3 linked regions of the Oryzias latipes genome follow. The protein of the gene in region 2 purifies or fractionates together with the protein of the main gene of each other region. This does not show direct contact. Links are inferred from orthologs where the notes say so. Each region holds a gene or a part of one and is shown on either strand. Other genes may lie near its edges.

What was found.
Region 1: the proteins of asna1 (region 2) and ubl4a purify together in Homo sapiens (affinity purification with mass spectrometry; 4 studies listed by BioGRID and IntAct, with this or other methods). This does not show direct contact. The link is inferred for Oryzias latipes from reciprocal best matches to the Homo sapiens genes GET3 and UBL4A.
Region 3: the proteins of asna1 (region 2) and bag6 purify together in Homo sapiens (co-immunoprecipitation; 5 studies listed by BioGRID and IntAct, with this or other methods). This does not show direct contact. The link is inferred for Oryzias latipes from reciprocal best matches to the Homo sapiens genes GET3 and BAG6.

The regions. Positions count from the first base shown.
Region 1 is NC_019867.2:16,992,923-17,003,256, reverse strand, and holds ubl4a (ubiquitin-like protein 4A), read right to left. Parts: upstream 6,830-10,334; 5' UTR 6,682-6,829; coding exon 6,634-6,681; intron 5,444-6,633; coding exon 5,338-5,443; intron 5,250-5,337; coding exon 5,044-5,249; intron 4,848-5,043; coding exon 4,740-4,847; 3' UTR 4,256-4,739; downstream 1-4,255. Other genes in the region: dynamin-1-like protein, read right to left, coding at 1,021-1,359, 1,449-1,569, 1,798-1,960, 2,107-2,193, 2,284-2,355, 2,445-2,491, 2,684-2,722, 2,903-3,044 and 1 more; cGMP-dependent protein kinase 1-like, read left to right, coding at 7,933-8,119, 8,192-8,309, 8,487-8,653, 9,052-9,165. UniProt on the Homo sapiens protein: As part of a cytosolic protein quality control complex, the BAG6/BAT3 complex, maintains misfolded and hydrophobic patches-containing proteins in a soluble state and participates in their proper delivery to the endoplasmic reticulum or alternatively can promote their sorting to the proteasome where they undergo degradation.
Region 2 is NC_019859.2:35,303,531-35,312,430, reverse strand, and holds the end of asna1 (ATPase ASNA1), read right to left. Parts: intron 8,780-8,900; coding exon 8,631-8,779; intron 8,545-8,630; coding exon 8,394-8,544; intron 8,321-8,393; coding exon 8,213-8,320; intron 5,519-8,212; coding exon 5,321-5,518; intron 5,238-5,320; coding exon 5,109-5,237; 3' UTR 4,447-5,108; downstream 1-4,446.
Region 3 is NC_019874.2:28,117,168-28,127,765, forward strand, and holds the start of bag6 (large proline-rich protein BAG6), read left to right. Parts: upstream 1-4,162; 5' UTR 4,163-4,287; intron 4,288-5,045; exon of another isoform or gene 5,046-5,047; 5' UTR 5,048-5,054; coding exon 5,055-5,135; intron 5,136-5,220; coding exon 5,221-5,338; intron 5,339-5,578; coding exon 5,579-5,793; intron 5,794-6,944; coding exon 6,945-7,016; intron 7,017-7,111; coding exon 7,112-7,234; intron 7,235-7,300; coding exon 7,301-7,491; intron 7,492-8,019; coding exon 8,020-8,152; intron 8,153-8,247; coding exon 8,248-8,448; intron 8,449-8,526; coding exon 8,527-8,755; intron 8,756-8,889; coding exon 8,890-8,940; intron 8,941-9,015; coding exon 9,016-9,368; intron 9,369-9,433; coding exon 9,434-9,506; intron 9,507-9,589; coding exon 9,590-9,882; intron 9,883-9,969; coding exon 9,970-10,219; intron 10,220-10,296; coding exon 10,297-10,466; intron 10,467-10,544; coding exon 10,545-10,598. Other genes in the region: uncharacterized protein LOC101169638, read right to left, coding at 1-4, 201-314; glrx3 (glutaredoxin-3), read right to left, coding at 3,131-4,111. UniProt on the Homo sapiens protein: ATP-independent molecular chaperone preventing the aggregation of misfolded and hydrophobic patches-containing proteins.

The sequences.
Region 1 (10,334 bases), on a different chromosome or scaffold from region 2:
TAAGCCAATACACGTAATAAATAAGTAAAAACTATGTTCTGCTACTTATAATAACTAGGAATGTTTTTAATTAACAACAGAATATGTTTAAAGCATAAAAAGCTTACTTCAATATGAAGTACTTGAAGTATGATGGGGTTTTTTTCATGGAAAAGAAAATAAATTCAGTTTTATCCCATGAAAAAATATGAGGGTCAATTATGGATCTACAATTCTAGCAGTTTAAAGACATTTTTGTTAGATTTTCTTCTCTTGAAAAATGTTCCATTTCAGAAAAACATTTATTGCATTTTTTATGTGAAAACCTGCACAGATACTTTAGTATTTGTGGAGCTGACTGTGATGATTAAAATCTTCTTTCATATCATCTGATTTTTGAACAATTTCAGATTATTTAGGAAGATTTAAGATTTCTTTTCATGCTGTTAAAATGTTGTCAAAGATGGCTCTCATTGGCTTTCATTCACTAAAAAAAGTGAAGAGTCCACTCATGTTTTATTTTGAAAATCAGCCTGATTATCCGTCCTGCTGGTATGATCAGTGGCAACAGTGGCATGGTTTAAATGTGGATGGATGCCCAAAAAGCCTTGACCATATTTGGCTGAGCAAACAGTTGCTTCTGGGGTGAGCTATAGAACCTCTAGTGGCAAGATTATAAATGATTCAAAGGTTTCTGATTGAGTGAGGAGCACAGGAAGTGTGAGCTGCAGATATCTGGGAACTCCCCCCCTAACTATCAGAGGTCTCAATTTGAGCTAATTCAATATTTTTCTTTGGGTAGGTAGTTTGTTTCTTTTCCATTTCTATTAGTTCTGCTGGAATTACTTTTAAACTAAGAACATTTCAATAAATTAAACGCTTCAGTCAAAATTACATTTGAGTTGGCTTAAAAAAAACATTTTCTTGGTGGTCAGGAGGGATTACCTTAACAAAAACGGAGTCTAGTGAACATGAAGACTGTTCATCATCATTGAGACATTTGTTTTAACAGAAAAGACAATCAAGTGAGGTGATACTCACAGCTCAGATGTTTGGATGTGCCTGGCTGTTCCCTCTATGGTGTTGCAATAATCTGTGGCAAACTTGGTGACAATTTGCAGCAGAGTGGCGCTGTGGTCCTCCACAGGTTGACCATAGCTGTTGAGTCGTGCCTGGTACTGGGAAATGAGTACTGTCACTCGTGTTTTGAGCTCTGGCAGGCAGTCCCTGATGTGGTGCATGAGCAGTTTACTAAGAGTTTTTGCGAGGTAACGGGAGCCCGCTCGGGATACGAGTGAGGGGTAGTGGCGCTGCAGGAAAACGTGCTCGTCTTTAATCGAGTCCTCCAGGCTCTTTTGAGTATTAATGTCATGCTGGCTCCTAAAAGAAGACAGGAATGGAGGTTTCATAGAAGGCTGATGTGGTAGACTAAGCTAAAATAAGACGAACATGTATGATTTCTTTCACACCTGTTGACCACCCCGATGATGCCAAGCCTTACAGGTATGACTCTCCCCAGGAGGACCTCCAGCGCATCAGTTCCAGCATCCATCAGGTCCAGTTTACTGACCACCAACAGCGTTCGACGACCTGAAGAACCCAAAATCTACGGATCAGACCTGCAAGTTCTCAGCATGAACGAGGACTTTCAAAGTGACTGTCAGGAGCATTTGGACTGGAGAGAAATATCTCAACCAAAAACACACGGAGACAGTCCTGAACATTATGTAATTTAAAATTTAGATTTGTTATGCAAGAAGCACATTTTAACAAAAATCCTCAGAGAGAGAAAAAGGGATTGTATTCAAAATGTCTTACCATCTGGATCAACCTCACGTGCCAATTTCAGAGCATCAGAGGTGGCCAAGTCAGAATTGGCAGGGGATACTGCGAGGATAAGAGAGTTTGGATTGGAGATGAAGGATAAGATCATCTCTTGCACTTGAGCCTCAATGTTTTCTGGCTGGTCTCCAACAGGAACCTAAAGCAAAAACAAGAGGCATTCAACATTAAACCCAGGCAGATGTTTGGATGAAATGAACATGGATTGCAGATACAGATGTTTGCACAAATCAAAAAGTAAAGATAAAAAAAAAAATTGCATTTTTGTCAGATTACTGAGTTCACCTTGATAATTCCAGGTAAATCAACCAGAGTGAGATTCAGAACTTTGGGGGAGAATATCTTCAAATATATGGGCTCACAAGTGATTCCCTGGAAAACAAGAAAGAAAAGAAAACATGATTATTATGTAAAACCAAAATATTGCAGGTCAGTAAGGTTATACAAAAGCCTTTTTCTCACTTTGTTGTCCCCCGAAGTGCGCTCTGTCTCTGCTTCGATTTCTTTACGAATTTCCAGAAAATCTGTGAAGATCTGTTAAGAAAGGCACACCCATCAAACATCAGAAAGCTTGCAAAACAAAGGAAGCAGAAGCATAACAAGAATAAAAATGATGAACATACCTGGTTCTTACAATGCAGAAATGTGCCCCATTCTTCAGCTTTGACACCTGAATAGAAAATAAGAGCATAAAAGTGTCAGGGATGAAGAATTAAAGTATAAAAGAATGGAATATGAATTTAAAAAAAAGGATTTGGCAAAAACATAATGAAAATAAACTGAATTAACTAAATGAGTGAGACGGTTAATGGTAAACATGAAGAAGTAGAAACTTTTTCTCATGCAGATCAAATATAGTGACCTGTGTAGCTGTTTTGAATATTTTGTTTAAGCCCATTTCCTAAAAAGTAGTAAAGAAAAAGAGGAAGAAAATGTGTTAGTTCAGAAAAACCCTGTATCAAAACCAAGTGACAGAGAGAAGTGCATAGAAAGATTTCAACATAACTCAATGCTGTGAGAGAATTATAAGCCTAAGTGTTTTACATCGAATTGAGTTATCATTGAGTCATAATCTGTTTACCATGCTCATTCTTCAGCCTTTCCTGTTGTGGAGCAACATTGACGAGCTGCAACACAAGGGGTCGTCTTGTGACTATTCCAGATCCCCGAGGCAAAAAATCCCTTCCGACCAGGCTCTCTAGCACTGAGCTTTTTCCACTGCTCTGTTATAAAAACAACGACAGCACATGAGTAATAACAGGACATCATCTATTTTTAATTTAAAAAGAACTTTTTAACTAGAACCCTGAACTGGGTGAAACCATACTTTAGTATACATCTACTCTGGATGATTATCCAATAATCAAGACAAGATAAGTGTACAAACACAACATTGTTTTCACTCAGTTTTCCAATTCTGGTTTCCATCCACTGACCTGAGTCCCAACCACGACTATCTGAGGCAGCTGTATGATCTCTGTCCCGACCGTCTGAAAGACCTCTTGCAGCCGGTTGATGGTGGGAATCAAAGTTTCCATCTTTCCAGTCGTCTCTCCTACTGTTGGTGAACACATGAGGGATGTGAACAGAAACATCAAGACACTCAACAACGAGAAACAAGGCTGTTTGCTTCATGGATGCAACCATCTCTAACATGTTTAATTGATAACCTTAGGCTTAGCTCTAAGGAACAGGATCTTCAGTTTTCCTCCTCTGTGGCGCGTTGCTATCCTACTAAGGCTTTTCTCCAGGGAGAAGTGGTCCTGATGATCATGATGAGAGGACTCAACGCCTCAACTCGACCAACATCGGATACAATGTACTACTTACTAGCTTGAAGGGATTTGAAATTTAAAATTAACTATTGATTGCCGGTAGCAAAGGTGACAGCACGTACATTTTAGACATTTGTTATCGACAAAGTCCGAGGTAATAAATGTTATCTGCTAACGCTCGCTGGATGAATGCAGGAAGTACAGTATGTGCTGCTAGCTTCATGCTAACATTAGCTTACTGGCCATAAATAAATAAATAAACCCGATATTACATTCTTACCTTTTCAGTGTTTACGAATATATCCACCCCTATCCGACTATTCTATGTTTCATACTTTAAATTATGCTAAATATGTTTAAAATACACCATTTTATAGGAGCTGGTTTACAAGTAACCAGAACATAAAGCACAGACCAAATGCTTGGAAAGAGGGGCGGAGCGTTGGTGGCAACCCACCTGATTGGTCAAAAAACATAGATCACGTGTCTTGCTATTGCTTCATTGGCTCCCTTAATTGTTCTCGCCCAGCGGTAAAATAAAATGTCCCGCCTTGCGACATTCTCTTCAGTCTTCCTTCTCCTTGTTTCCAAACCGGCAATATTTACACAAAACACAACTATTTCTCACAATACAACGTAAAAAAAACAAAAAAACGTAGTAATTTCTTGATCTTTTATTGTCGTCATATATAAACAATATTTACAAATCGCACAATGGCCATCTGAACAATAAAAGATGTGTGTATTCTTTTATCCCACGTTTAAATGAAAAAAATAAAATAAAAACAGGCATCATTCAACGCTGACATGAATAATAAATAGTCTCAAGTGGAAGTTAGTGTTGCCTGGAATTGCAGCAGCCAGAAATCAAGCAACATTAGCACGAAACAATGTTTTTGTGTTTTGATTTTACACAAAAAAAACTAGTCTTTCAACAAATGGTGTCAATATTAAAAATAGAAGAGAAAACACACATGAGAAAGCCCTATTGCTGAGATAAACATTAGTCACTGACACAAGTCAGCAATATCAATAATCACTGATTAGGCACACATTGTATTCTCAATGGCCTCACATTTATTTTCCCAAACATGTAGTTTCTCCTAAATCTATTCATACAAAGTAGATTTAGGTTTTCCAATGCTAGTCCATGTAGGAGGTGTCCATGCTCTCGCTGTCAGGGTGAAGCAATCGCACTGCTAGTCGTTCAATGTCATCCAGGCTGAGCTGTCGAAGTGAACGTTCATAGTCCTAAAAACAAACAAAAACAAAGTTTAGTAATAACAAAGAGGAGCTTAACTGTCAAGCTCACAACATGACAAATTATTTTAAATAGTTAAAATAGACATTCGTTTTGTAATATAATTTATATAGTGGGTTTGAAAGGCAGTAACAGAACTTTAACCATTACAACTTTTGGGAAACCATGAATAAAAACTTATCTTACCTTTATAAGCTGTTCATGAACTTTTGCTGCATCTGCTGGACTGAAGTGTCTAGCAAGTATAGTGGACACAGTCTGCCACAGTCCTCCCATGTTCCTGCTGCTGCAGCCAGTCACTGCTGAGGCTGCAGATCTTTCTCCTGCAGGACGGATTACTAGGTTCAATTTAGCCTCTGGTCCAATGGAATAATCACTAAGTCTGTGTTCATCTGAAAGAAAAAAGGGCATACAGAAAGATAAATTATGAACCTGACAAAAGTATAAAGGAAAGAAAAAAAAGTAGTAGGCAAATTTTACCTGCCAGTGCCTTTCCTTTGTAAAGCAGCCGCTGCTGGTTTGCTGGTATGTTGAGTTGCTCAGAAACAAGTTCCTTCACTGTGGAAACCTTTTCATCTTCTGTCACCTGTGGGATAAAAACAAATTCTTAAACTGTAATTTAAACAAGAACAATAGAGTCAACTGGTATAGAAAGACTGCGGGGAAAACAAGTTCTAAGGATGCAATAATAAAAAAAATGAATACATAAAAACAGTATTAAACGGGCAAAATAAATAATTCATTTTATGTAATAAAGTAACAAAGTACCTATTGTGAAAACGTTTTATCAGCTCAAGACAAAAACATTTGTTACAATAATTCAAAACAATTACAAATATATTGTTTATTCAAAGCCTTCGTATTTTTTTCGAAATGTGCCGAAAACTCACTGTCTTGTCTGGGATAAAATTCTCGGCTTAAAATCTAATTCAATAGATGTCTTAAATGGCTTTGTATGACCAATTTTAAGTGCACATGTTTGACTTAATCTGAAGAACAGCCATATATAATGTATAATGTGTAATTACCGCTACACTTTAAAGTTGGCATTAAAGAAAAAAAACATGATCATAAGTACTACGGTACTCAAAATAAGAACAACACAAAACCAAAAAAATGTTTTGGTTAAAAAAAATTATAAATAGAATATATAACTACATAATTAAAAAAGTTAATGAAGTGCTGTGGAGTTTTAAAATGATTACTTTATGTAAATGAAAAATATATACAATTCTAAATTTGTGATAAGAGAAGCAGGTTCATAATGCTGCTTTCATGCAACTGTATGTCTTAACTGATTTGACACAAAGGCACATCCAGGAGCAGCAAATATAACTGCTGAACTGTAAAATAATACCAACACCGTTTTTTGTTTCAACGCGCTGACCAAACAAAGTCCTCTAATACACCGCGGTTCCTTACTCACTTCTCTTTACTGCATTAGCACCAAGTAAGGAGTAACAACAACTTCCACTCAGCTGCTGGGCGTGACCTCAGCGAGAATGATTCAGACAGAAAGAGTTCTTCGTCTTGCATTTCTAAATTAGCTAACATGCTAGCTGCGGTAAAGCTGCTTTAGAACTATAAACGGGTGTGTATATGTACAACCGCATCTTTAGTACTGGTTAGTGTTAGAGTTACAGTCACTAATAAATTAAATTTATGTTCACTTTATTCAAAGCACTTTAAAAAACTTATGATGCTGAGCGGCTAACAGATATACCCGGCTAGCTGATTGTGCAAATTAGCATTATGGAGTTCGATTTTTTAACTAACCTGAACACTGCACTCCTTCCCTTGAAGTGGCTTTACTGTAAGAATCATTTTTCAACACTCTCACTAAAAACAAAAACACACAATAATGTGATTAAAGTCCAGCCAAAAGGGTTACTAAGTTTGCTCGTTATAGCCACACTGGCTGTGGTCCCGTCAGCGTCCCATCTTCTTCTCCTGTTTCCTCTCAACGATGCCACTGCCTCTGTTGCTGACATCAAGTAATGCTGCTGCCGCCTACTGGCATGAAGGATGTACCGCAGCTAAGAAGAAATGACACCACGATTAAAGTTCAATTAAAAGTTTATCGGAACTAAAGTGGTTAGGCGATGATATCCAAATTGATCTCCTAAGCAGGATACTGTGCCAATACACCTGTACACACATGGGTGTTTTTTTTCCTTTGACAGACAAAAAACATGGTGATAAACTTTTGTCATTACATTACATTTGAATAGTAACGTGTTTGTCAATTTGAAAAGAAAATTGGATCCGACTCACCTGTAGATTACTGTTACAATTTACCCATAATTACCTGACCACCTTCTATTGCTTATGTTCAATACACAAAAAGATTTTCACAAAAAATGCGTTTACAGCATTGACATTTTTTTAATGTCCAAAGTCGGGCAGATGCTCGTTCTTTTTTCTTTCCGAAAGCAAAATTTAGTGTCAAATTTTCCCATTAGAACTACTTTCCTCTGACCCAGTTCGGATCCAGCCTGTGCATGTGTCATTCTGTTCCCCCTCCTCGTGGTTGGAGGGAGCCCGCGTCACGTGACCGCCTGTCTGCGCTGTGGGCATTCCTCCTGACCAGCATCCTTCACTTGAGGACGCCAGGCGGACTGCTCACCTACACCGGTGAGTAGCATTTGTGTACCATCCATCAATTAGGTGTTGAAAAAACAATGGATCTGTGGCTGAGTGTAATTAAATTTAAGATGATAAAGACAATTTATCTTTGTTATTGTTTTTTTCTCTTTTGACAATTTTTATATAGCCTACATAAAACCTTGCAGCTTCACATAAAACGTACATAATAAAAAAAAGTATAATTTGTTTACTCTGAAAATGTATTCTTTTTAGTGGGATAAACTTATGATGCACTTGACAATGAATTGTTTTTGCCTTTAACCTGGATGGAAATGTGTGCTACAATTGCAAGGCAGCATTTTGACATAGATAGATATGCATAATATTTTTCATATTTAAGTTTGTGAAATAAAAAATTACAATTTCTTTTTTATTCTCATAGCAACGAGCTGTTTATCTTTGTGCTTTCCTGGCTGATGCCTGCAGATCATGGGTACACTGAGGGACCTCCAGTTTGCTCTGCAACTAAAAATCGAGGAGCTCCGCCAGAGAGACACACTCATAGATGAGTTGGAGCTTGAACTGGATACAAAGGATGAACTCATTCGAAGGCTACAGGAAGAACTGGACCGTTACAGGACCACTGTTTGCCTCTCAGGACCCTCACCCAGTGCAGGTAAAGAGTAGGTCAATCATTTAAAAGTACAGGTTGTAGACGTGACCTAAAAATCTCAATTATTTTTTATAGCTCCTCAAATTGAGGGCATGGAGCGAGCTAAAAAGCACACAGTCATTTCAGAACCCTTCAGCCCGGACCCCGTGACTCTCGCCAGGATTTCACACAAAAGCTGTGACAAAAGTCAACAGTAAGAGCACACTGTGTTCCTCCAACTTCAGCTAAGAAGGCCAACTTTTCAAATTTTTTAGCATCACTCAATGGTCAAGCATTTTGAGTCAGCATTTGTGGCTTGTGGCGCGGCATTTAAGGTGATTGACAGCTACACTCGGAGTGTTGCATCTTTATCATCCCTGTGTGTCATCAGATCTCAAAGCCTGATCCAGGCAGGGCTTTTGAAAAACGACCTGTTGAAGAACTTAGACGAAGGAGAAATGAGAGCTGTCACATCCTGCACATATCGCTGCTCCATCAATCAAAACTGCACTCTCATACAGGAGGGGAGCGCTGGGGAGCAGGCTTTTATTTTAGAAGGTAAATTGCTGCCATCTGTCATCCTTAAGATTATTTATTAGAGGTTTCTTGTGAGGAAAGTGGCTAAAATAATTTGTTTTCACCAACAACTGCTTTTTAAAACTCATTTTGCAGCTTGTTTTTTTTTTTTTTTGCATTTGATGACAGCTTTATGGTTTAAAGCACACAAATAGCTCCCGCTTAAAGACGGGGAACATGAACAAGAATACCAGGAGAAAAGAGGTCATGAACTGAACGTAGATTTCATCAGAGAGGAAGCTGCCTCCTGCTTTCAGTCTTGTCACTTGAACCATCTTTTGTGCATGAAGTGCGCATCAAGCTGACAGTTACTTTTATCCGACATGGATTCTATACTATCAATGTGCTCCTTTTTCCTACTAAGTGTGTGATGTTGACAGAAGGAAGATTGAGCGTGACTCAAGACGGGTGCAAGCTGCTGACAATTGAACCAGGGGATACGATTGGCGAGCTGGCACTCCTCTACAACTGCACTTTCCCCTTTTCTGTCTCTGGTAAGTTGTGGGATGATAGGATAAGATGCCTCAAAGTGGAAGCATGCTCTTTGAATAATTCTTCAATCTAAAATCAACAAGGACAGCTTTTGGCTTAAGTCATTTTGACCGTAAAACATATTTTGATTTGAATAACCCAGCACTTCTCTTCCCTGCAGTTCTGGATTTAGCGACACATTTCAACCCATTTTGTCGACCTTTTTAAAGATTTGTGATATTTTCATGACATAGTAAGTGTCACATCCTTTCTTCATATCTAATCTTGAAGCTCTATGGGGGAAACTCTGTCGTTACCCCAAGCCTCTGACCTGGTTTCACAAATAAATGCAGAATCTCATCCCATCAACCCATTTTCTGATCTATTTTGGCGTCACAGGGCTGCCGGAGCCCATCCCAGTCACTGTTGGGCAAAGGTTGGATATACCTTGATGGTTTTTGCGGTCCATTGCAGTGACACACACATATTCACACCTTGGGACAATTTAGAGTCATCAATTGACTTAAGATGCATATTTGTGGACACTGGGAGGAAGCCAGAGTGTCTGGAAAAACCCACACATGCACTGGGAGAACAGGCAAACTCCACACGGAAAAGATCCTGCTGGGATTTGAAGCAGGACCTTCTCACTCACTATGAGGTGATAAGATCAATTTGTGGGAAAAAAGAATTTCAATCACTATCTATGAGTTCAATTATCTTAATTGACTTTATGAACCAGATTCCTGCTTCTGTGAATATCCAGGCTGCCGAGTGTCTGCTTTCAGTCTGCTCTTCATCTCATGTAATTCTTTTGTTCGTCTGAATGATGATACTGTGCAGATGGCAGCATGTAATCAGGAAGAAAAATGATGAGAATAGGGAGAAAAATTGTGCTTCAAGACAAACAATTTGGTGAAGCTGTAAAGTGGAAGCTCACGGTTAATATCGGAACATTAAAATTGAAACGTTTTGAGTCGCACCGTTTATTAGCTGCTGGATCCACTCTGACTGTCTCGACGATAACATCTTTTATTTGCAGGAAGCTTTTGTGAAGCAATCAATATCAGCACTTACTCTTTTACACCATCGTCAAACGCTGAATATAGAGTATTTATTGCTAAAGGATTCGATTTATGTCTTGTGAAACGACAGCTATTAACTCTGATTTACCCGCTTGCTTTTTAGGTCT
Region 2 (8,900 bases):
CAATTATGCACATATAATGTACAATAGAATTCTGAATACAGAACAAACGTGTTGCATTCATTAAAAAATACTAATTATTAATAACAAACACAAAAGGGAATAAGAAATAAAAAGAAACAAAAAAATAAAGAGAAAAGAGAAAATGCGAGAGTAAATCTATGTCAGCAGTCCAAAAGAATTACAGATGCTAAATGTTTTTTGAGCTTTTGTATTTTTTGAAGCAGAAATTAAGTTTAAATAACGCTGCAGTTCCAGTTTGAACACAAAGAAATCAGGTTTTTTATTGGAAAATTTTCTTTTGTGTATATGAAATTTAGCCATAAATAATACCATGTTTACACAAAAGAAAGCATCACGGTCTTTGACATCAAAGCTATGAAAACCAAAAAGTATGTTTTTATAATAAAGTTGTATGTCAGCAAAAATAGAATCGGTGATAAATTTGTGAATGTTTTTCCAAAATCTGTATGTAAATTCACAAGACCAGAATAAATGAGAGCAGGTTTCAGGTTGTTTCTGGCAGAAAGTACAATTGGTGTTTATGTCAGCCTTAAATTTAGTTAAGTAATGCTTTGCTGGATAAAATCTGTGTAGGAGTTTAAAAGAGATTTCTTTGACTTTATTTGTTAAGAAGTATTTTTGTGGTAAAGACCAGACTTTTTTCCAATCAATGTTAGAAGTGAAATTAGCCCAATAATAGATAGCTGATGGAACAGAAACTAAATTATCTTGGAACAAAGCTCTGATTTTTGAGTTCAACTGTTTAGCGGAAGTGAAGCAGAAACTCCCCAGAGGAGATTTGAGCACCTCAGGAGGATGAAGAGTCAGAGGATGAGCGCTGTAGAAACCCCTGAATAACATGCAAAGCCCAGATGGGACGGCATCAAACACTACTGCCAATTCTTTGGGAGTTATTGGTACTTTATACTGCTTTGTGAAATCTGAGTAGTTATATAATAATCCAGGTTCTTTGAATAATTGATTGAGGAAAATTATACCATTATTAAACCAATTATTTAAAAACAGAGTTTTCCTTTTATAGACAATATTACAGTTATTCCAACTATAATACAACTCTGTGGAGAAAAGTTGTGTTTGTAGATCAGAGCCCAGGCTAAGAGAACCTGTTGATGAAAATTTGACAGTTTCAAAGGGATTTTTGGAATACTATAATTACAGCATAGCAGGAAGTTCAGGCCTCCTACCTTTGAGAATACAAAATGTGGAATAAAGTTCCAGATAGATGTGGGGTTATTAAGATATTTCTTAATCCAGATTACCTTTAGTGTATTGTTAAGGACAGTAAAATCAATACAATTTAAACCGCCTTTATCGGAGGTATTTAAAATAACAGATTTTCTAATATAGTGAGTTTTATTTCTCCATAGAAAGTTATATAATATTCTATTAATTGTATTGCAGACTGTGTTATTAACCTGTAGAGATTGAGCTGCATACGTCAAACGAGAGATTCCTTCTGCTTTTGTAAGCAGAACTCTGCCTTTCAAAGACAAATCTCTTTGCAGCCATTGGTTTAGGTTTTTTTTGGTTTTATCTATTATTGGAGAGAAATTTGTAGAACATCTGGATTGCATATCTTTAGTGATTTGAATACCAAGGTACGTAACAGATGTTTTTACAGGAATACCTTGGATAGATGTAAGTAAACAGTTTTTAACAGGCAGAATTTCACATTTATTTAAATTAAGGGTAAGTCCTGAAGCTTTAGAAAAGGATTGGATAATATTAATCGCCACAGCTACTTGTGAAGCGTCTCGGAGAAAGAGAGCAGTGTCATCTGCTAGTTGACTTATGAATATTTCCCTCTCAGCCACAATTAAACCTTTTAATGGGCTGAGTTTGATATGTAGGTTGAGGAGTTGAACAGAAAGAAGAAACAGATACACTGACAAGGGGCATCCCTGCCTTACCCCACGTTTCAAGAAGAATCTAGGAGAAGTTCCGCTGGCGAGTTTTATAGAACTATTACTATTGACATATAAAGTTTGAACAGCATTCCAGAAGAATTGACCAAAACCAAATTTATTTAAAGCAGCAAACTTGTTTTTTTCTTTGTAAGGGGGAGCTGTAGCGCCTTAGAGCTGGATATCCCTCCGCCGGTGTGATTCCGCAGGAGAAACATTTCTTCCGGTGGGTGTGCTCTGAAGCACAGAAGTTTACATTTAAATAAAAGTAATGACTTTTTGTTTGTATTTTCCAAACGCTGGTAGCTTCGCGCCAACGTAGCTCAGCGTTTTTCTTTTGTCATCGCGTCCGGATTTGAAGACACTATCTTTTCAAAGTTTTCTGCTTGGAGGGATTAATGTAGGGGTAGGGAGAAGCCAGAGGGGTAGGGAATGAATTCGGGTTCGGTCAAGAGCAGAAGTTGTGTGCCCAAACCATCACACCTCCACCTCTGTGTTTTCCAGAGGGTATATGAAGTCATTCCTTCAGACACAGAGGTCGCTGACTTTAACCATCCAAACCCTTCAGGACAGACTAAAGACTTTTCTCCCAATGGTTTTTACAGTTAAGGAAATAAGTGTTTGTTGCTGATTTTGCCCACTTAAAAAGAACTTGACAGTCCGCCATCCCTGTTGTAAAGGCCTATCATCGAAACGGGACTTCCCTCGGCTGATGCACATGAAATGAGGAGGGAGAGGGAGCTTTGATCTAAAGCCATGGTGACGAGCTGTAACAACGTTCTCAGCAAGTTACGTACGTTTCTTGTTTGCTAACGAGAGACCATTGAGCGCACGTACAGGTGGATGTTGCAGCGTCCATCACTGACGACCTCCCACACGCGACATATAAGTGTACTCACCTGCAGAACCCAGTTCTGGACCTTAGATGAATCATGGATGTGAAAAGACTCAAAACAGTCTGCACTCGGCTGTGGAAATTCAGACTTCAGCGGGTTTTTACTGACACCCTAAAGAGACACCATCACATCCCAACTAGTCCTTTTCTAGGATTTCCTTTCTTTCTTTTAAAAATCCCAACAGTTCATTTGAACACCTAGTTAGAAAATTAAAAAAAATCCACTTTTAGGAATGCAAACATTTATTTGCATTTCATTAAGGAACAAAAAAGTATTTGATCCTTCCTGGCAGCAAACCCTCATCATCATCATCAGCAGCAGCAGCAGGTCAGAGGTTACTGGTAGTTGATGATCAGGTTTCTGCACAGATCAGGAGGAATTCTGCTCCACTCTTCTTCACAGATGATTTCTAAATCATTCAGATTTGGTGGCTGTTGCTTAGCAACCCTGAGCTTCAGCTCTGTCTATAGGCTGAGGTCCAGAGACCAGCTGGACCGCTCCATGACCCTGATCTGACTCTTCTTTTTCGTCTTGTATGTCTTGGGTCATGATCCTGTTGGGGGACCCATCCACCCCCCCCCCCCCCACCTCCCCATTTAATCCTCCTGGTGGAGGGAAGGACGTTCTCACTCAGGATTGGACGGTACATGGCTCCGCCAATCCTCACAGAGAAAGTAGCCCTGTGCAGAAAACACCTACCCCAAACCATAATGCTTCCACCTCCATGCTTGACAGTGAGGACGGCGTTCTTGGGGTCATCGGCAGCATTTCTCCTCCTCCAAACACGACGGCTTGAGTTGATGCCAAAGAGCTCCATGTTGGTCTCATCTGACCACAGCTCCTTCTCCCAATCTCTGTCTAAATCCTTCACACATCAGGCGGGTCTCCACATGTGTCTTCTAGAGCGGGGGGGACTTGTGAGCTCTGCTAGATGTTAGATGTAAAGCATCACCAATGAGATCCTCAACTAACTCCTGATTTCTCTGTTCTCATGATCACAGAAACCCCACCAGGTCAGATCTGGTTTGGAGCCGCAGACCTACAGGAGGATTGATGGTGATGCTGCACCAACGGTTGTCATGGTAACCTCCTGCTTCTTTGTAGTCCAGTCTGGTCTGGTGCAGGTCTACAATCTTCTCCTTTAAATCCACTGAAAGCTCTCTAGTCTGATGGACTGATTCTGTGGACAGGTGTCTTTTCTACAGGTGATCAGTTCAAACAGGGGACAGACGGTTGATAAGGAGAGTCTAACGGGTCTGTGTGACCCAGGACTCTGAATGGTTACCAGGGGATCAAATACTTACTTCTGTCAATGAAATGCTACTGTACATTAATACTTTAAGGTAGATTATGATTGCATGGAGCTGCAACCCCCCCTCCTACCCACCGGTGGATTTCCCACTGGCTGTAACGGTTTACCTGACAACACTGGGGTGAAGTAAATGAACCCTTCAGTCCTTCCTCTGACGGCTTCAGGCAGGACGACGGCGAAGGAATCCCCTTTTCTCAGCGGGGGGTGTTGGTGCAGGTTGACGGGCTTCATGCTCCATCAGAGACAATCTGCATGCGGGTCAGTCTCCAGCCCCCCCCACCACTGGCTTAAGGAATAAACAGGAGACTGCCAGTTGAGGCAACTGCGTTTAATTCTCACTGCCAGTTTCACTTAAAGAAAACCTATAGAAAAAGATTCTCGCCGACTCAGAAGCCTTCGTTGACGAAGAGGGGAGTTTCAGAGGAGGAGTTGACCTGCGTTCTACCTGCACATTTCTGTGTTCTCAGGTGTCACGGTCCCGTGGCTGAGCACTTTGCTGAAGGACAATCAATGCAGGGATGTTGAGTGGAAACCATCCCCGTATGGGTAAGACGCCCGCCGTTTAGCTTCATTCCAAATGTCACTGGTGAGCGCCGGCTTTAACGCCACGAGCGCAGAGAGGCGGGGACACGTCTGCTGCCACGGCGGCCGGAGAGACCTGCTTTCTGATCTGCGCAGACGCGTCTGCTCAGAATATGGAGAGGTCAAAAAACAGTTTTATTTGGAAATAAAAAAACACGTTCACTGGAATCACCAACAAGTGCACAGCAGAGGGGGCGGGGCTTGTTGATCAGATGTGGAAACACACCGAGACCGATGAAGACCGGAGGACGGGATGGGCGGCGCCGTCGCAGTGCTGCGGGTGGGGTCCCCTCCCTGCGGGGGGGGGACGGAGCGGATTGCGCTGAGGCTTCGTGAGGATCTGAGGGCGGCTGGAAGGAGGCGTCAGGGTGGAGGAGGCGTCTGCGGGGAGGATCACTTGTTTGGAGGCTTGTAGGGTTCCAGAAGTTGCTTGGAGAAGGTGTTAACTTTGTCAGCTCCTCGCACTTCGTGGGGCAGAAGAGGCAACTTGACTATGTGGAAATCCTCATAAAGGTCCTCCATCTGTGAGGAAGAACACGGGGCAGAAATGAGCGCGCGGATCCCACCTCACGCCGTTTCACGGCAGACGCCGGGACGCTTCGTACCTGATCCAAGTACTTGGACTGAATTTTGTGGCGCGCTTCACACATCTTGCAGGGCTTCTCGGCGTCGGGGAACACCAGCTGGTTCACGATGATGTTGTGCGTGTCGATGCGACACTTGGCCAGCTCCTGGATGAGCCGCTCCGTCTCGTAGAGGGAGAGGAACTCGGCGATGCACACGCAGATGAAGGTGGTCTGTTCCTGAAGAGAGCAGGGAGACATTCGTCAGAACCAGACCTGGTCGTCAGAACCAAACCCCAACAACAGAACTCGACTCTGGTCACAGCCGTTATAAAATTTGGTTCTGACGACCAGGCGGTCGTCAGAACCAAACTCCAACGACGGAACACCAGAGTCGAGTTCTGTTGTTGGGGTTTGGTTCTGACGACCGCCTGGTCGTCAGAACCAAACCCCAACAACAGAACACCATGTACATTACTCTTTAAAAGAAAAAAGCTAAACAATGGGGGGACTTCATTAAAAGACTAAATAAGGGGGTGGTGACGGAGGCCCCCCACAGGGGGACTTGCTTGGAGTGAGCCCTCCGACATTTTCGGACGCTGGTCGCTTTGACCGCAAAAGCAAAACCCGACCCGGTGCGGATCCACGGAGGAGACGCCACGCCCACGGCGTTAGGCGTGCTCTGTGTTCTCCTCGCAGGATGGTTTGCCGCGCCAGAGACCTGGGATTTAACGCTGCCGAGATCTAAGCTCCGTCATACCAAAGCACAGCGATCGCTTTACGGGATGGTTGCTGTTTGTTTTTAAACTTTGAAGTTTCCGGAGTGGAAATGACTAACATTAAACTAAAATGATTGCCTTTGAACTGACCTATTCTATGTTCAGTATGTTTGGGGGGGGGGGGTTAATGTAAGGAAATGATGCACGGGTTACGTCTGCTATTGTATTCATCTGAGAATTGTTTCTCCACATTAAAGGCCCGTTCACACCGGGACGAATTTTGCCGGCGTTTTTCGCCGACGTTTAACGCCTCGTGACTAAACAAAGGGCACTAGGGTTGGGCGATGTCCCCTAATTTGGCTGTTGACGGTGTTTGCTGTCAACCATCGGGATAGACGATGACATCGTCGGGGGGGGGGGGGGGGGGGGGGGGGGGGGGGGGTGTTTACATTTTTCGTTCTTATATAACTGCTATTCGTTATTTTGCTTTTATCATTTTATTTCCCAACTAATGGTTAATCCGCGATGATCCAGTATAAACTGAGGGAAGTGACTTTAACAGAAAAAGTAACAAACAAAATAGAAAAGAAGTAATCCGCTCCCGCACTTAACTAGCGAAGTGGACCGGTGGAGGGCGGATTTACAGCTTTGTGTTTGATGGGAAGGGGGGGGGGGGGGGGGTACATGAGCGGTATGTGTGGGAGATTTAAGACTGCGATCCGTCCCGCAGCTCTAGGGGTACAAGCAACCGAACTCAGAACCGGGTCTAAACGTGTGTCTGAGCACAGCTCGGATCGTCAGCAGACACAGCGGTTTGAGCTTCAAAGCAGAAATGTCGCTCAGTCCTTAGAAAACATTCAAACAATCACGTGGATTTGTGTTTCCAGTCGTGTCCCGACTAAATAAAGGCTGCATGCTGTTATTCACAGCATGCAGCGCCACCCAAAGCTAATGTTGTTAGCCCGTGTTAGCATACTGCTAATCCTGGCTACGTTCAGAAAAAGCACTGACCACACGGATTAAAATTCAAATGATGAGCGAACAGGTGTTTGATAATAACCGTAACATTATTAAAAGCAAGTTTAGAAGATCATCTCGTATTTTACCGAGCTGACATGTCAATGTATATAGCCGCTCGGCGCTGTTATCGTTTTGTATTGAATTGTTACATTCAATAAAGTTTGGAAAAAAAGCCGCTCGGCGGAAGTTGTATCCTCTTCCGGTTTTCAAACTGCGCATGTGCGAATACTGCGCATGTGCGAATGATTTATTCCGACCGAAATTGTGACCTTAGTGAACGTTTTTATATTCTGGAAAAAAATTTCTGGGCCCATCTACACGGTTGGATTCTAATCCGACCATTGATCCCATCAAGATATTTTGTACATGTAACCGCGGCTTATGGTGTCGACGCGCAACGTGGCGGGGGCGTGGCATCACGATGGTGGTCTCTCCATCGGGATGTCAGTCACCCATCACGATGGACGATGATATCGTCCATCGGCACAACCCTAAAGGGCATCAATGTGAGTGTGCACACCGACGCGAAAAAACGCCACGCGTCAAAGCGTCACTTTTTTTAAAAACGCCTCGGGTTCGTTTTTTTGGTTTGATGCGCCGCGTCGAAATCTATTCGACCAATGAGAATGGCGCTTTTGCACACGTGTCTGGAGCTTCTGAAGTTACAGTAAAACACAACTTGGGGGCGCTCAAACACAAAACTGCCTTTCTGAGCACACATACCAGCGAAGAAGATAGACGCCAAGTAGCGTCTACACTGCCGCGAAGAAATAATGACGGACATTCTAAAATATCCCCGAACCAAGCACCAGTTGGAGCTACTGGTGCTTGAAATATTCATGTTTTCTTTGTATTATTCTGACAAGCGCGTAAATACTTGCTCTCTTCTTCTGAGTGAAAAGCAACTTTAAGAAGCGTAAAGTTGTGCAGCGCCACCTTGTGTACAGGAGTATTTCTGTTTACATTAAGCGCCATCTAATGTCAGGGAATGAAATTGCATGTTCGTTCAGCTCATCGTCAGCGAAAATCGCCTGGGTGTGAACACAAAAGACGTGGCGAAAAACGCTGGCGAATAACGCCTGGCGAATATTCGTCCCGGTGTGTACGGGCCTTTAGAGCTTCTATTTTGTGTGTTTATTCTTTAGTAACTCGACTAGTGAAACTGGAAGGTGAAGTCCTGCTGAACGTCACTTACGGGGTCTTTGAACTGCTCGCTGACGGAGCGGATGACCGGCAGCGTTTCCTCCAGCTTGGACGCCAGCTGGTCTGCGTTCATGTCACCCAGACCCAGCATGTTGCACATCTGGAAGAGGGAATCAAAAAGGTCGACAGCTTCAGCTGGAGAACGTCCTCCAGTGGCGCCGCCGCCGCCTCACCTGAGAAATGAAGGGGCTGATCTGGTTCTTGATCTGCATGAGGCGGCCCAGACCTCGCTCCACGATGGTGGGGAAGTTGAGCAGGCGCAGCGTGTGGCCGGTGGGGGCGGTGTCGAAGACCACCACCGAGAAGTTCATTCCTTTCACTAACCTTACGTTCAGGCACACAAGCACGCTCAGTTACTCCTCACAGGGACGTGCAGCGAGCGCCGACGGCGGTCCCGCCGCTCCGTTTACCTCATGACCTCTGCGTAGCTCATGGCCTCGTCGATCCCGGGAAACGCGCTCATGGCCTCCTGCATCATCTTCTTGCCCATGCTGAGCATGTTGTCCTCCTCGAAGAACTCGTCGGGCAGCTCCGCCACGCCCAGGCTGGGGTCAATCTCCTGCATCGGCAGGGGGAGGGGAAAAAACCCACGAGGGCTGCTTCAGTTACCGCCTTCGGGCGAAGCTCATGACACTGAGCGCATGTGGAAAGAAAACACCCTCATGATTCTGGAGTCATGC
Region 3 (10,598 bases), on a different chromosome or scaffold from region 2:
GATACTGAAATAGAAACAGAAACAGTGACAGTGAGGGAAGAGCGGATGCTTAAAAACCGATGCTGCTTTCATAAACCCACAGCGGGCCGTACAATAAAGACCCCATGTGGAAAAAGACGGGGGAGTGGAAAGAGCTTCTGTGCTGCAGCCCAGCTCATGGATCTGTCTTTGAAGAACCAAATGATCTGTTCATTTCTCACCTGCTGATGGTTGATGGTCTTCACCATCAACAGTTGAGGAAGTGTGCAGGGGACCAAGGCCTGATAGGCCAGAGAACATAAATACAGAAAACCCGACCAGGCTTCGTTGAACATGTCTGCAGTTTGAATCAAACCAGATTGAACTGAAAATCATCTCAGCGTGCAACTCAAACAGAGTGTGGGTGTTAAGTCAATGATTAACGTGTGTTCCTCAGCCGTGACATTTCTAAAAAACACACACACACACCCCATAAGCATTTTAGATAAACGCTGAAGTGAAACGCACGTTAACATAGAGACTCGCTCCTCGGCCAAAATCCTCTGAAAGGAGAAAGCCCACCTTGTTTCCACTGTGTGAGTCAGCCTTATGTAGGAGGTCGCATCTTCGTCAAGGTCGAGCCATTGATTATAGTGTCAGGGAAGCGGAGCAATCCTGCGTGTTCTCACTGTTACTCTGCACTGTCTTCACCAGAAATCACTATCAGGGTGTGGAAAAGCAATGCCTCAGAAGGAAGAGCTCAGAGACTAAATGATAACTGATCATTAAAAAATGTTTCAATAAATAGTGGACACGCTGAGAGAACTTCTGCAGGCATTTCTCATTTTAAAACTCCACTAACAAGAGACAGGTGTTTATTAACTGGTCAAAGTGTCACATTCTAACACCTAAATCATATTATTATTCCTTTTGTCTTTCTTCAAGTATTTTGAGGCTGACATCTCAGTTCTAAGCTATTCTTCCTTTTCTCTTCCTTTCTGCTTTTCCCCTCAGGGGTCAATCATCTTCCTCCATCGAAACCCTGTCTTCTGCATCCTCTCCTCTAACACCAGCGATGTCCTCGTTCATCCATAATTCTCATCTTTGGTCTTTATCTTGCCTGGCAGCTCTAGACTCAGCATCCGTCTACCAATAAATTCAATGTCTCTCCTCTGCACATGTCCGAACCGTCTCAGTCTGGCCTCTCTGACTTTATCTCCAAATCCTCTAACATGCTGTCCCTCTGATGTCCTCACTCCCTAAAAGAACCTCAACATATTCATCTTCATCGTTATCATGCAGTTTTTAGCCAGAATCAGATCTAAGCTAAATCTTTTTAAATGCCTACTCGAGTTAAAAAAATAGTTTTTGGATTTTTGAAAGTGTTCTTGTGGCACATTTTGATGATGAAGGACATATCTGACGCAAATTCAGATCAAAATTGCATTTCTGAGTATTTCTTTTGGAAATAGGAGCAGAAGAAAAATGCTATTTGAAAAAGATTGTATTTGTGATGTAGAAAATACCCTAGGCAGGCCACTAGCTGCCTGCTCCATTCCTTTCTGATTCATCCACTGTCAGACAAATAGATCCATCTTTATTTTCCACCCCTGAGCAGAATCTGGATCTAAACTCTACGGCTGGACAGCTCCATTATTGCTCGGCATAATCATAATTAAAAGACCAGGAACACTTTTACGATGGATTGAAAAAAAAAAAGATTGGAGTGGGACTTTAAGGTAGCTCTATATTTAACAAGACTCTACTATATACCCATCTTTAAACATTTGAAGCCTAGTGTTTACATAATCCATCTTCTAAACGTTGTAAAATTTTAACAAAACCTTTAAATCTGGCTTCATCTTTCCTTTAGATTACTAGGAAATGTTTAAACAATCTTAATGAGTATCTCCTTTTTTTGCATTTTATACTAAAAGTAAGTTTAGGTATTAAAACTCGATTTGAAATAATAGAAATGCAATATTAACTCCTGGTGATATCATTTTACAAAAAAACTCAGTGAACAGACCAGAGGTCTGAAACCTGAGGCTCCAGAACTACATGCTACTTTTATCCCTGCATTCTTTGGCTTTACTATTAATTACGGTTAATTAAGTTTGACATTTCAGGTTGGATTTTTAATATATTAGACGATTGATCAAAAATGATGGTAAGCTATTTCATTTACTGTCAGAAAGATTTGGTAGAATAAGGTAGCAGCGTTTTTTTTTTGCTGTTTAGAGGCAAAGGTACTCAAGTGCATAGGTACATGTACATTTATAGATTTTTTAAAAAGGATTCTACACCAATGCTGTCACGTTTCTATTAGTTATCAAAATGAGAAATGAGAAAAAGGACGAAGGCACCCCAAAGTCATGACAGAAAATGTCATGATTGACATGTATTTTAAATTCAAGTAAATCGGAGCTTTTTCACACAGGGTGTTTTATTTTGAAAGGAACTTGTATGTGCTGCCGTCTAAAGTAAAATAGATTCAATTTTATTACGTGTATAAAACAATACATTTTAGAATGCAATTGTAAATATTTCAAAGCTACATTTTATAAATGAATTAATAAATGATCACAAAAACATAAAGTGTTTTTTTTTATAACAGTGAAGTTGGACTTCATGGCTCTTGCTGGGTTCTTTTAATGTGAAAGGTTCCAGAACCCTGATACTGTTGGTGCTTTTACATTTACGCCCACAAGGTGGCGCCAGAAAACCTGTCACACGTGCTTACTATACCACATGTATTACAAACGTGACATGCTGCTGCTTTTAACAATTTTATTGAGTGTGAGCTTTAGTGCATGAGCTCTGTTCAAACTTTTTTCTCATTTCAAAGTAAACTCAGTTTACTACAGCCAGTTCACCTCTTTACAGGCAAAAAATAAAACAAATAGAAACGTTTTGTTCTATTTTGATGGGAAATTTATTATAGGCTGGAATTTGCAGTGAACATGAGTAGATTTTCAGCTTCTCTGGTGGTGTTCTTGTCATAAAGATGAGGATGGAGAGTCAGCAGCTTCACGTCATCTGAAAGTCTGTGAAAAAAGAAGAACGTTTCCCACGATCAAAGCCGACGAGCAGCTTCTTTGACCTCCTGGGACCTCTGAGGGGTGCAGCAGCTGGTGCAGGCCTGTGCAGTGATGTCCTGTTCCCCGTCCATCTACGACTCCCCCCTCAGTACCGACTCCAGCTCCCCACTCTCCTTCAGCTCCTTCACTATGTCCAGGCCCCCGATCAGCTCCCCTTTCACGTAGAGCTGGGGATAGGTGGGCCAGTTGGAGTACGCCTTCAGGCCCTGACGGACCTCTTCGTCCGACAGGATGTCAAAGGTGTCAAAGTCCACCCCCGTGGAGTTCAGGACCTCCAGGATCTGCCTGCTGAAGCCACAGCGCGCCGCCTCCTTGTTGCCCTTCATGAACAGCATGACGGGGCTCTGGTTGATGATGGCCTTCAGGCGGTGCTCCAGGGTCACGGCCTTTGGGCAGGTGGTCTCCAGCTCCCCGGACTCGGCCAGCTCCTTCACGATGTCCAGCCCCCCCAGCAGCTCTCCGTTCACGTACAGCTGGGGGTAGGTGGGCCAGTTGGAGTACGCCTTCAGGCCCTGACGGACCTCTTCGTCTGACAGGATGTCAAAGGTGCTGAACTGGACGCTGTGCTCCTTGAGCAGCGCCACCATCTGGCGGCTGAAGCCGCAGCGGGGCTCCTGCGGGGAGCCCTTCATGAACAGCACGCAGGGCGCCGCGTTGATCAGCTTCTTCAGCCGCTGGTTCAAGTCCGCGGCGCCGCCGTCCGCGGCTCCTCCTGGGGCGGGCCCGCTACCCGCCAGGCCCTGGACCTTCTTAGTCAGCTCCGCAGCGTGCGCCCCGTCCAGACGATCCACCTTCTCACCCCCCTTGAAGAAGATAAAAGTGGGGACGGAGGATATGTCATACTTTTCCGACACATCGGGAACAGCCTCCGCCTCCAGCTTCACAAACGTCGCGTGCGCGTGTGCCTTGGCCAGCTCGGCCATCACTTCGTTCATGTCGCCGCACTGAGGAGCCCATGCCGCCTGGAAATGTACAACCGCGAGGTTTTTTCCAGCTTTTGCAAGGAAATCCTCGAACTGTTGTCGGCTCGTCGCCTCTAGCACATTCGCCATCTTTGCTTCTTTGACCTCGACAGCAGTCCGGCGGCTTTCTGACGTCACATCCGTTCAGCCCTAAAAGCTGTTAGCTGTAGCATAGCCGCGACGCACCGGAGAAGTGCTCGGCTTTCTGAATATAAGAGCCTCCTGTGGACTCTGGATACGTTAAAAAACATTGTATGATTTAAAAGGTAAGCGTTTGACGGTGTGACGCATAAAAAACGGAATGTTCTGCGCTTAAGCATTAGTAGCGACACGACAGATCAGTTAGCATCTTTAGCTAATCTGTTTGGCTAATTAGCCAGTCGGCGTTTATTTGGTTCCTAAAAAAAGTAATCCTGCTGAAGAGCAAGTGGCGATATGTTACTTTCTATCTTTTGTTATACTGTCTGTCCTAAATCTTAGTTTAATATTACATCGCTCCTGTCCTTGTTTAGCGAATACAGCCGGGCTAACTGTTTTTGGCTAACGCTAGTACAGGGAGTCCGTCTTTGGGAAAAAAACAAAGCATTAAATCAAATTTAACCCACTGAGTCTAACATAAAGATATAGATGCTATTTTACGTTAATTGTATGTTTATTAAAATTCTTGTTTAGGAAATAGCTCAGTTAATAATGTATTTTAAATTAGAGCTAAATAATTCAGCTGATTGTAGTTATCCGGATTCCTTAGTTAGAGATTTTATTTTCTAGACTAAAGGCTGGTTAATAAATTCACTTCAACGTTGCCTGTTTGTTAAAAAGAAGAGGTGATCTAGATGATTGCTGAAAAATTGGAAACTACGCTCACTGTTCTTCATAAACTTATAAACATGCCGTGGACGCACCATGCTTGTTGAACAGATTGTTAAATAACCTGGTGCTTATCAAAATTTTTGTAAAAGTGTACAAACACTTTAAAAAGTCACATAAACAGAATAATTTGTAATTGAAGATGTAATACAATTGCAGGAACGCTATGGATGAACAAACCTCAGACATAGAAGTGACGGTCAAAACTCTGGACTCTCAGAGCAGAACCTACTCAGTCGGTGCTCAGGTAAATGGAAAGTTCCTGCTGTAAATATTTGGGTAGTTTCCTTTTGTCTTTTATGATCTGACTGAAATGATCCATTGTTTTGCAGCTGACAGTTAAAGAGTTCAAAGAGCACATTTCTCCTTCAGTGGGCATCCCTGTGGACAAACAGAGGCTCATCTACCAGGGCAGAGTACTGCAGGATGAAAGGACGCTGGCAGACTACAGTTAGTCAAAGGATATATTAAATCTTCCTCCTCTTAACCTTTCAGCTTGTTGCTTCAGGGAGTCTCTCCATCTGAACATCCCTTCTGCCTCCTTTCAATCACACCACCAAGGAGCATTTCAAAACTATTTCTTTTAAGTAAAAATTCTGTCATTGAATTAGTTTTTGGTTCCATCTGCTCTTTCTGCTGATTTGCCACTGCTTCTGTTTTAGCTGACCATATTCTCCGCTACTCTTGTAGATGTGGCTGGAAAGGTGATTCACCTTGTGGAGCGGGCCCCCCCTCCACCCTCCCAGCCTGGCTCGGGGTCAGGGGCCACCGCAGCCGACAGCGGGCAGTCTTCATCCTCCCAGGGAGCATCGCAGGTGCCTCCACACGATCGCAATGCCAACAGCTATGTCATGCTTGGAACCTTCAACCTCCCCGTCAATATCATGGACCCCCAGCAGATACAGGTAGGTCTGCATTGTTGGTGTGCGTTGTCAGGGATGAAGGCAGCACTGCTCAACAGATGACGAGATTCCAGTTGCTCAGGGCAACTAAACTCTGTGTTTCGGCATGAAGATCTGAGTTCAGTCAAGTTGAAACATTACTTTTCTAAACGGCTGCCTTCAATCTGCCATGAGGCTGTCTGCTTTTGTTAACAACCTTTGATCACAAACCTGCAGGAAATTTTTCTTAAAAGGACCAAGTCTTCTGGATCAAAATGACATGAAAGTCAGATGGGTTCGTTCAAAGTGAAAATAAAACCACAGGGATTGATTTCAGATTTTAAAACCATCTAGATGTAGTCGGTTTATCACGCAGAGCACAAGTGAATTGTTCTGTGTGATCTCTGCATTGTTTTCATCTCAGCATTTTCCACTATGTCCGATCATATTGTGTGGAGATGTTAAAGGGAAAATGGACAAAGATGGACTTTAGAGACTCCGGCATATGAACTCTGTTCATGTCATCTTGATGGGTTTGCTAAATTATCCTAAAAACAAATACATTTAAAGCTGCAACGACTGTTGAATGACCATTGCCACCCTGCACCATGGGCCCATCAACAGCCCCCCAGGTCTGTCTGCTGCCCCCAGCAGCTTCTCCTCGGCCTGTGCTGCAACAGAACAGGATTAAGGCGTGATGCTCATCCTCTAACTCTGCAGCCCCATCTGAAAATGGTGCCACAGTAAAACCCCACCCGCTCCTCTACATTCCATGGTCCATGACATCAGTGAAGATGGAGCATAAAGAAATTTAATGATTTTTACTGGATGGCTCTTTCTTAGGGGATATATATATATAAAAAAAAGGTTTTACTGGCCCAATTTTACTTAGTTTTTTTTGTTGGAAGAGAACAAATCGTTTACTTTTTATGACAAATTTTTGAATCAGTTTTGCGGATTTTCATGCATATTAGGGGTCTAATTAGGTCTCAAAGAGGGAGAAAGTAAAATAATAAATAATAACAATTGCAATTATGACTCTTAGTCCACTTTGTGATTGCTTGAAGACTGTGGTTTAAGCCGAAAATTACTCAATGATATGATAAAGTATATAATACTTATATAATAAAGACACTAACTGTACATTAAAGCTGTGTGATTCTTGTGTCTCCTAGATGTCTGTTCAGCAGATGGTCTCTGGAATGGGAGATAATGCAAGAAATGCTCGAGTCACAGCCAGTACTGGAGTAAGTAATAGAAGCTCCCTTCTATTCTTTAAAAGCTCGTCAAAAAACAGGATTTGAAACAAAAACCTTTTCTTTCCTGTTGTGACTGCTCTCAGAGCAACGGGTCTGTAAACGTTCACATCGACATGGACCAGCCGGTGCAGAGCGAACCCAGGCTGAGGCTGGTTCTGGCCGAGAATCTGCTGCGAGACCTCAACGATGTCATCAGCAGGATGGAGGCGAGCCACTGCGCCACAGGAGTCTTTATCTCCCAACCGCCATTCACTGACATTTGTCGTTTTTAGGGTCGACAGAGCGATTCCCAAACCTCCCAATCAGAGACGGCCTCTGCTGCTGCTCCGCCTCCTCCCTCTTCTTCCTCCACAAGCTCCACCCCTTCTCCCTCCACTCAGCCCATGGACACCTCACCTCCTCCAACAACTCCACCCACCTTCTCTGCTCAGTCTGAGGGACCCACTCCACAGCCAGGACCCAAGTGAGAGATTGAATTCAAAAGATTCACGAGAATTTTATTTAGTTTGATGATATTTGAAGGCCGTCTGTTTAAACAAGTGATCAGCTCATAAAACCAACGATTTATTGATTTGAGAAGCTGATAAGTTTTCTTATCCCCACACCTCTAGACTAAACATTAGAGGTTCCACCAAAATATTGAAATAATTCAAATTTATGTTTCTATTTGGTCAAATATCAATCTATTTTTCAAATTTCATTTAAAGTCGTTTTTTGTGTAGTTATGAAAACATTTGTTACATGACAGATATCAACTAAACAAAGGAGATTCTTTCCTTAATAAATGATACATTTTTATAATTAAAAAATATAATTATTAAAATAAAAATCCAACCTTATGACATATCCTCCGGGTTTTTTTTATATTAAAAGTTTCTTAACTTAACTAACTAAATGTACTTCTAACCCAGCTTTAATCTAGTCTACAGTAGATAAATTATTTTTATATCTGTTTTATTTGTTTGCTGTCGTTGCCCCCCCACCCCTGCAGTCACCCCAGCCCCGCTGAGCTGGCAGAGATGTTGTCAGAGCTGCGGAGAGTCGAGGAGAGGCTGCAGCCTTTCATCCAGAGAGCGCACGGCATCTTGGAGACGGCGGCGGCGGCCGAGTACAACAATGACACAGTAATGCAGCACCCCTGCATCACGAGGCGCTCTGTCGCTGTAATGTTTGTGTTGGCGTGACTAAATATTACATTTTTATGTTGTTCTCCGTGCAGGAGCGGGAGGACGACCAGAGGACCCTCATCCAGATGTGCGAAGGTCTCCGGCTCCTTGGCAATGCCCTGGTTGCCCTCAGTGATCTTCGACTGAACCTCTTGAGCCCGATCCCCCGACATTTGCATGTGGTGCGGCCCTTTTCCCACTACGCCAGCCCGGTCACTCTGCCCAGCGCCGTGCATCACCATGTCCCAGTACAAGTACGTCACAGTCGTCAGTTTTCAGGTCGGTGCCCCCGCTCGCACACTTCCACTGACCTCTCTGCGCTTCACTCACAGATGAACCTGGGGGCCACAGTGACTGTTGCGGCCAACAGCACTGAGGGACAGGCTCCGCCCACACAACCGTCCGGCCAAGCGGAGCAGGCAGGTCAGGGACAGACCCCCCCCGCACAGACTTCCCCGTCCAATCAGCCGCCGGGACAGGGACAGGGACAGGCTGGCCCCCGGGTCATCAGGATCAGCCACCAGGCAGTCCCGGTGGTCATGATGCAGATGAACGCGGACGGTGTGTTGTCCCAGACGCGCTGATTGAGTTTTCATCGCAGCAGTTCTGGGTTTCAGCAGCTGCCGCTGAAGTCTTCGGCTGCAACATCCATGACGCTCCGGAAATGACCGACGTGTTTGTGTTTGTGATCGCAGGTCCCAGCCCCAGCCCTGCAGCGGGGGGACAGCCGATCCCGGCACAGCCAGGTGAGGGTCGGCTGTGGCTTCGTTTCCGTCTCTGGATCATATTCTTCTGACCTTGTCCCCTCTGCCCCCGTTCAGGTGGTCTGCCCCCGGACTTCATGCGGAACCTCATGCAGCAGATCAGTCAGTACGCGGCGGCTGTCGCCACCAGCGCCGCCACCGCTGCTGCTACTGGACAGCCGGCCGCCCCCCAGCCCACCCCTCCTGGTCAGAGCTCCACTCCCAGCTCCTCAGCTGCTACAACGGGTCCCAACACCCCCACTACCACCCCAACCGCTCCCCCTCCACCGTCCCACGCCAGCCCGCAGCCTCAAGCCAGGGTGGTGTTCACCCGACCTTCTTTCACCACCAACATTGCCCCCCCGGCCTTCGGGACCCGTGGAACCACCATCAACGTGAGGGCGGCCATGCCGGGCCAGCAGCAGGGGCAGGTGGGGCGCCGACTGTTTGGACTCTTTCTGATTCATGCAGGAAACTGACGGCCTTTTCCTCGCAGGCTTTCAATCCGGTGGCATTTAACCAGATGATCACCGGGCTGGTGGGACAGATGCTGCTGCCGGGGCAGATGGGTAATGACCTCACTCGTAACCAGAAGAATTAAAAGACCGTTGTCTTTTCTAAATGGTTAAAGAGGAACTTCTGCTTTTTCCAGCCGGTCAAACGGTCACCTCTTCCACTGCGTCCACATCCTCCTCTTCCTCTCAGACTTCCTCCTCCTTCTCCTTCTCCACCTCGGGTCCAATGCCTCCATCTGCAAACGCCCCACCCACCCAGGACCAAGGGGAGGCCGGCGGCAGCGAGCCCCAGCCGCAGGAAATCCCCCCCGACATCAGTCAGCTCATGAGCTCGCTCTTAGGCGGTGCCAGTGGCGGAGCCCCCTCCATAACCGTGACCACGTCCGGAGTCCCCGCCTTCCTCCAAGGCATGAGTGAGTTCATGCAGCAGGTGGGTGTTTGCGGCGTGAAAACAGCACAGAAACGATGAAGGTGATTCTTCCCGGCTGAGATCGTCTGTATTTCTGTGGCCCTCCAGCCGATCTTCCCCACGCCCCCCTCTGGAACCCCCGCAGCCCCCGCTGCAGGGGCCACCTCTGCTCCCAACCCGGCTGCAGGCGCGTCCGAGTCCATCAACCCGGAGCTGTTCACCGGCATCGTCCGTGGCGTCCTGAGCACGCTGATGGGCTCTCTGGGCCAAACGCAGAACGACTCTGAGAGCATCGCTCAGTTCATGCAGAGGCTGTCCCAGGCCACCAACATCTTCATCAGCACCGAAGAGCCCACAGGTGCGTTTAGTCGGCAAGCCTCAGCGCATTCTGCACCCGCAGGAGGACTCATCTCTCCTCTTTGTTGTGGATGTCAGGTTTCTTCGGGGAGCTGCTGATGCTGGTGTGTCAGCTCTTCACCATGTCGGACCTGGTGATGCTGCTCCACGGACAGCACCAGCCGCTGAGCCGCATCCAGCCCATGCTGTCGCAGTTCTTCACCGAGAACTACCTCAGCGGCAGAGAGCCCACCGACCAGAACATCGCTGTCAGTCCTCCTGCTTCATGTCTGCAGATTTTTAACCTGGACCCTCTGTTCATCGGTTCTCCTGCTTCCTTCCCACAGGCTGCTGCTGACAGTCTGGTTAATGAACTGGAGGAGTACATCACTGAGAGCTTC